Nothobranchius furzeri: one gene and its partner. The protein of the gene in region 1 interacts with the protein of each later gene in a biochemical or structural test. Links are inferred from orthologs where the notes say so. Each region holds a gene or a part of one and is shown in the gene's direction. Other genes may lie near its edges.

What was found. The genes of interacting proteins can lie anywhere in the genome.
Region 2: the proteins of synj1 (region 1) and endophilin-A1 form a complex in vitro, tested with the Homo sapiens proteins (2 studies listed by BioGRID and IntAct, with this or other methods). The link is inferred for Nothobranchius furzeri from reciprocal best matches to the Homo sapiens genes SYNJ1 and SH3GL2.

The regions. Positions count from the first base shown.
Region 1 is NC_091750.1:63,449,527-63,453,176, forward strand, and holds part of synj1 (synaptojanin-1), read left to right. Parts: intron 1-159; coding exon 160-325; intron 326-411; coding exon 412-591; intron 592-687; coding exon 688-726; intron 727-2,104; coding exon 2,105-2,233; intron 2,234-2,367; coding exon 2,368-2,406; intron 2,407-2,618; coding exon 2,619-2,678; intron 2,679-3,650. UniProt on the Homo sapiens protein: Phosphatase that acts on various phosphoinositides, including phosphatidylinositol 4-phosphate, phosphatidylinositol (4,5)-bisphosphate and phosphatidylinositol (3,4,5)-trisphosphate. Has a role in clathrin-mediated endocytosis.
Region 2 is NC_091742.1:89,729,748-89,733,397, reverse strand, and holds part of endophilin-A1, read left to right. Parts: intron 1-1,466; coding exon 1,467-1,535; intron 1,536-2,046; exon of another isoform or gene 2,047-2,178; intron 2,179-2,252; coding exon 2,253-2,325; intron 2,326-2,397; coding exon 2,398-2,541; intron 2,542-2,730; coding exon 2,731-2,864; intron 2,865-2,945; coding exon 2,946-3,104; intron 3,105-3,650. UniProt on the Homo sapiens protein: Implicated in synaptic vesicle endocytosis. May recruit other proteins to membranes with high curvature. Required for BDNF-dependent dendrite outgrowth.

The DNA.
Region 1 (3,650 bases):
AGTAGTAGAACTGCCAATCATACATTCATAAAATACAACTTACCTGACGTCGTCGTCTGCAAAGCCGGTGCAAGCAACAGCAGGGTTGTTTAAGACAGTCGTAATTCAACCTTTCTCAAATAATGTCTTCCTTCTTTTCTGATCGGATGTATTTTGCAGGTCCTGGACAAGATGATAGACGTCCGCTTGAGGAGTCCAGGCTGGATCAGGAGTCTGGAGGAGGAGATGAGTGTAGAAAGGATCTGCGGAAGCATTCCCACGTCGAGTAGCTCCACGCTGCTCGCTGAGGATGTGTACGTGGGTGATGACGATTTTGAGATGGAAGGTGAGAAGTCGTCACTGAGCTATGTGGAGAATCATGGAAGACATTTTCCAAAACCTGGATTGTCCCCTACCTGTGTTCTCCTCCAGGTGAGGTCGACGAGGAGGTGGAAGACATCCTTCCTCAGCACCTGCTGCCTGGAACCGGCTCTGCTCCCGGATCCTCCCCTCTTCCGTCTCCACGCAGCAGTCCTTGCCCCTCCCCTACCCAGGGAGAGCCCTCTGCTCCCAGCAGACCCACTCGTGCACAACCCACTCGACCGTCACAAGGTTAATTACAAAGTACAACCAAATCACATCTTCATGTTGTGGTCTCCACCTGCTGGAATATAACTTTGATTCTGTTGTGTTTGGAATTTGCGGAAGCCGCTTTAAGTGTGTCCACTCAGAGCGAGGAACCTCCAGGTAAAACGGAGCGTAGCGGTGCGTTCTCTGTTGGGTGTTAGCAAGTGTGGTTTCTTAGTAAAGTGTTTCCCTTACAGATGGGTTGGTTTGCAGTGTTAACTTAATATTTTCTTTGGTCAAATTTAACTTTGACTTTTCTACAGTAGACAAATGTTGGATGGGATGGACTTGTGAGATGTTTTAGTAAAAAGAAAAAAGCTTCTGATCTAATGTAGAGGCAGCAAATCTGCATGGTTCTATATTTTAATGCGTAATAGGGGTTGTATGAACTAGTCGACTTCACTGCTCTGTAGTGACTTTTTATGCCTGTCATCGACTAGTCGCTGTCACGTGATAATGACCGACAAGATGCAGTCATCGGAAAGACAGCAGGTGACAAGCTCCTGCGCGTCGGGAGGCAACGCACTGTGCCAGAGCGTCGGTACTGACACCCGTGGTAAAACGGACAGTTAACCAAATTGTGACGTTTACCCTCTTGCAATTTAACCTTCCCCTCACCCCCATCCTAACCTTAACCAGCTTGCACATGCAAAGCTCTGATCGATGACGCGCTCCAGACATCTGCATCCTGAGCACGGCCACAGTAACATTATCAAATCAGGTGTTGCCACCTCAAAAACTAATTTAACACGCGATCGTTCATGTCGGCTCATTTCCTTTTATGTCTTCGGTCTTTTATTTGTGCCTGATGCTTTTCACTGCTGTGGATCGGGGCGCATCACCTGTTTTGTCCTCCGGTGACGCACCTCACTGATGCGGCCGGCGAGCACTCCGCTGTTTTTGCGGTCGGTAGAGCTTTTATAACTGCAGTTCAAAGGTAACTCATGAGGTGAATATATATGAACCCAGGTAGCAGTTTTTCTTTAGGATTGAGAGGAGATGCAGGAAGATAATAAACAGGCAGGACAGAAAAATAGTCAAATAAAAACAAGTTAGTTTTTGTACCTGGTGGTTGCAACAAACAGACACCACTGAAGGTAATCAGAAGTGAGGAACAGAAAATTAAATAATTATTTTAATGTTTAGAGCAGCAGGAACTCCGAGAGGCTGCAGGTGCACTGTGCAGGGGGGGGGGCTCAAGCAGGGGAACAGTAAAGATGCAGAGGCTACCGCTGTTAAAAGAGATGTGTTTAACTTTGAAAATGTGGCCGCAATTTTGGTTGTCATAAACTCCAGCAAACCAACTGACCCCGCGCGCCGCTTCAGGTGTATGACGTCATCAACGACTAGTCAAAGTCGACTCGATTTTCATTCAACTTTAAATAAAATTAAGTCATGCAGCCCCTAATGCGTAATAAAAGTATTTTCTTTCGGAGACAGATTGTTAAAAGGCCAGTTGTATGAATACATTGCTCTTCTGCATTTTATCTTCATCCAGGGCCTCCTGTTGACTTCCAGCCCGGTGCTCCGACAGGTCCAGGCCTGGAGCCAAAACGGGCTCCTCCTCCCCGCCCAAACGCCCCACCGGCCAGACCAGCTCCGCCCCAACGCCCACCACCACCCTCAGGTAAACTACATTTGTCTTGACTGTTCAAAATGATTCCAGTCCCAAAAGAATCAGGAGCATGAATGGACGCCGAGATCTTTAAGGCAGGTGGTAACTTTTGGCTTTCATTCCACTGCTTTGCCAAATTCTTCAAGGAGGCCTGAGTCCTCAGCCAGTCAGAAAGGACTCTGCAGGTAACGTGAAAGCTGTTGAACGGTGAACTTCATCCATCTACGTTGCATCTGTAGAAGTTTCTAGATGGTCTACAAATATTTAGTTTTTATTTCAAATCGAAAAATTGTGGTAATGTCCTTGACATCATCAACATGCCTGCTTGTTTTCACTTTTTTTCCTTATGTTTTCTGTTGTGCTTTTATTTTGAAAAACATCTTTTTCCCTCCTCAAGATGTTGGCATACGTCCGAGCCCGCTGCTGGGTAGGAGAGGCAGTGAAGGCAACAAGCCAGGTGTCTTTTGTGAATGTAACCCCAGTCATGACTGATGACGGTGTTTGCATTGATTGTGTCTGTTGCTTCATGGCTGGAAATTTTACTATTTTATTTGTGTTTGAAATGTGATTGGGAGTCTTTTAAATCAACAAAAAAGAAAAGTACTAATTTTATATCAAGAATTAGACAAACATTCACAATCAATGAGCTACTAGAAGAAGATTTGGTTGTCTCTGTTGCTCTGGGACAACATGTAGTATTCAGTCGTAGTAATTAGTGGCGTCAGCACTCGCCATCACTCGTCCGTATGAGCTTGTCGGTCAGAAGACTGAGCAAATAACCTGAAAAATAATTAAATTCATTGTGTTCTATGACCAGGATGGCTTGTCCATAGAGGGCGCTGGGACGTCGCCCTCGCTGATGTGGCAGGAAAAACTATTTAAAAAATTAACAAAAATCATTTACTATCAATGTTTCAGTTTTGCTTAGTTGTGTGAATTTCACCCAATAGAGTCACAAATATCACTCCTGAGCTGCAGCTAAACAGCCAGTCACATTTGGTTGCTAGGGAGAAGTGGAGTATTTTTAAGCAAAAAGTGTATCTGAAATTGTCTGTGGGTCGCTGGCTGCTACAGGAAATAGCTAGCATGATAGAAGATGCTGGCTCTTTTTTTTTCCTGCCCTCTCTCTCTCGCACTCCCTCATTCACACACACACACACACACACACACACACACACACACACACACACACACACACACACACTGTTAGATAGAGTTGAATTTATACCTGATTATTTGTTCAAAATGTGGTATTTAGTTCAATATCAGTGTTGTGTTGCTGCCACCTACAGGTGGAATTGAATATTGCACTTTGAGGGACACATTGGGCAGATGATTAAGACACACGGAGACTGAAAACTCAAGCTGGTAAACAAACTAATGTCAAAGTCAAATGTGAATAACAAAAATAGATAATATAGACTCTGCT
Region 2 (3,650 bases), on another chromosome or scaffold:
GATGGCGTATGTGTGCAGCTGTTTCCTGTAGCCTTTATGTGTTTGTTTACTGGAGTGTTCTGCGTGAGAGAATAAAGGATGGCTCGCTGGTGGCCCATCTCCTCCTTCATCACTGCACCCTGAGGCTATTAGAGATGGAGCAGCATCCCTGATCAGCACTTGCTGCTCCCTTTGTGGCCAGCTAAGCAGAAATAATTATTTCCGAGGAGAATCGGAACTTAAAACTAATAAACCTGCAGTCAGCCAAGCTGAACACATGATGTTTATTGTGTTTATTACAGGTTTCATGAACTCTTGAGTAGAAATTACGAGGAACCAGTTCAATGCAGGAGCTTCACTCAGGAAAACCAGCATCATCTTTTCATTTGTCGTTTCTAAAGGATGTTGATGTGTTTGACATATTTTAACGGTGTTTCTGTGTAAATTAGTAATGTTGTAATGACCGCAGAGAAACATCGTTTAATTAATAAGAATTTTAGTCAAAAGACTGAAACTAAATGAAAAAAGATTTTAACACTGGTTTCAAGTTAGAAGTTTTATTTCTGCTGTTTACATAAAAATGGGTGCTTTTTTATCAGATCGTTAGTTTGTGTTTTTAATTTTGACTCTTTTCTGAATGTGGATCTGGGTGAAAAAAGAACCGTTTAAAAAAAAAGTCATTCATTCCTAAAAGCAAGAGCGGCTTTTATTCGACACGAACACGGGGAAAACGAGAATTCACCCAGTGAAAACATTAAAGAAAAGTCACTCGTGGCTTTTGTGCAACAAACACAAGTTAGACCGTTTGTGTGTGGAAACAAGATCAGAAACCACCTGCTCTTGAACATTTTACGTGTTCAAAGCTTTAACTTGTTGTTTTAATACTTTTATTCTTGTTTTCTGACTCGGATTGATTTTTTATTTGTTTATTTTGTTTATTCATTTAGCAGACGCTTTTATCCAAAGCGACTTACAATTTATAACCTATAGGGCGTGTTGTGATCTGTGGGGGAAACCCGGGGGAAACCCACGCATGCATGGGAAGAACACGCAACTCCACGCAGAAAGGCCACAGCTGAGTTTCGAACCTGCAACCTCCGTGCTGCGAGGCAACAATGCTAACCACTGCGCCACCATGATTTCTAGATTTTTACTTGTCATCTAATTATCATTCCTTTATTTATTTTAACCTGTTGAATTAAATAATTTTAATGAAGTCTTAGTGAGCTTGAGTCTATTATTTAGCCTGTTTGTTACCCTCTGTACCTTATTATGATCTATTAACTACACCCGTATGAACCCGTGGGTTTGATCTCACACCCGAGTTCTGTAGAGGATTCGACACACTTTCATCTCCCAGCAGCACTGTGGTTTCTCTCCATCATCGCCCCGAATGCAAACAGATGGGTATTTTATAGACCTAAAGAGTCAAACGGGACAGTTTTAACCCTCGTTCCTTCTGTGTGTACGTGGGTTTCTCTCTGCAGAAAGTCAGCGAGAAGGTTGGAGGAGCGGAAGGAACCAAACTCGACGATGACTTCAAAGAAATGGAAAAGGTAATTAGCTTTGTTTAAATGTGACCTGAAGCATAGGGGCAGTGGAAGAAGTGAGCAGAAGTGTTAAAGCTACTGTCAGTGGCCCATTAGGGTCCCCATGGCAACCAAAATCAACTGAAAGGTGCCTAAACTGTGAGCAGCAGAAGGATCAGGTGGGTGTGCATGTGTTTGATCTTTCACCACATGAGGAGGTAAAAAGACTCGTCACTTCCTGGTTTAGAGAGAAAACAAGTGTTTGTACTAAAATGGTTTCACGTCGCAAAATTTAAGAGTGGATTTGGGAGTTTTTTTAAAGCTGCAGGAGGAAATTCCTAACGGAGATAACAGTAACTACACATTTGATCATTAATTATAATAATTCATAGAAATATTCATGTTCTTGTTATTACTGAAGTAAAACTTGAACAGGTTTTTATTTAGGTTAAACGGTGCTTTTAAAAATCTAACATTAAAGGAGCGGTTTTACAGATGAGATGTAAAACATCCTATTAATTTTGGTGTTTGGTTTCAGCTACCGTTTGTTTTTAACATCATTTAGCGGTGAAGCAGCAGTGGATGACGGGATCCAACATGAAATGGCTCCTCTAACTCTGCACACGGTCCAGATAAATCCAGCGGTTTTATTTAAAACTCCCGACAGCTGGTGAGATGTTTACGTTTAACCTGTGAACAGCGGGGGGTAAACGGGGATGTTTCTACCAAACGTGTCCTCCGCAGAAGGTGGACGTCACCAGCAGAGCGGTTCTGGACATCATGACCAAAACCACAGAGTACCTTCAGCCCAACCCAGGTAAGAAGCATGCCAAGCTGCCCTCAGCAGCTTCCTGTGACCTCCACTCACCGCTCTGATCCCTCCTCCCAGCGTCCAGAGCCAAGCTGAGCATGATCAACACTATGTCCAAGATCCGTGGCCAGGAGAAGGGGCCCGGGTACCCGCAGGCCGAGACCATCCTGGGGGACGCCATGCTGAAGTTTGGACGAGAGCTGGGAGAAGAGTCCTGTTTCGGTGAGTCCCGACATGGAGATGTAGTTTTTACTGGCTGTTGGCCTCGACTCCGCCTCCAGTCTAGTGTTGTATTATGACTCAAGAGACCGTAAGTCAACAATAGAGAACATCTGTTCCAGGACCAGAGATCTTCCACCCAGAACCAGAAGAACTCTAACAGTAACTCAGATTCTCTCCTCGTGATTCCAGGAACGGCGCTGATAGACGCCGGTGAGGCCATGAAGGAGCTCGGGGAGGTGAAGGATGCTCTGGACATGGAGGTCAAACAGAACTTCATCGACCCTCTGCAGAACCTCCATGACAAGGACTTGAAGGAGATACAGGTGCATAAACTATTCAGACCCGGTGGATGGTCCGATCTGTCAGCCGGATCAGATGGTTACTGGTTTCCTCTCGCCTCGCAGCATCATCTGAAGAAGATGGAGGGCCGTCGTTTGGACTTCGACTACAAGAAGAAGCGTCAAGGGAAAGTCCAGGACGAGGAGATCAAACAGGCGCTAGAGAAGTTCGACGAGAGCAAAGAGATAGCCGAGCAGAGCATGTTCAACCTGCTGGAGAGCGATGTAAGTGACCCAGTCCTTGAAGAACTGGTTAGACACGCAGCTGTGGCGGGAAAATACATTCCCTCATATCCAACATAACACATGAAATCCTAATTTATACTAAAAAGTCAAACAAGTACATAATATTTACAAAAATTTAAAAAGGTTTCATGTATTAAAATTAAATATTTAGATTTAAATGTCACGGTCAGACCTAGTGACGATCAGCCGGATCCAACAACAGCCAAACACAGAGAAAGATTTAAAGATTTTATTAAAGGACTTGTTCAAGTGAGCGGGACCAGCAGGAGTCGGTTCCGGGTGGCGTGGCCCGGGACACAGAAAACAGTCAGCGAGGGAGATAATTCAGATGTCTTCATCTGAAGAGTGACTGACCTTCTGAAAACAGCAGCGGTGAGGAATGCTGATGAAGGTGAGTGCTCAGATTCAGGCTGGAGCTGAGGCAATAGACGGGTTCCTTGGTTAGGCAGGCAGAGGTCAGTAAAGAACAGGGAGGCAGGTTCAAACTCTCGAAGGACTGGCAGGACAGCAGACGATCTCGCACTG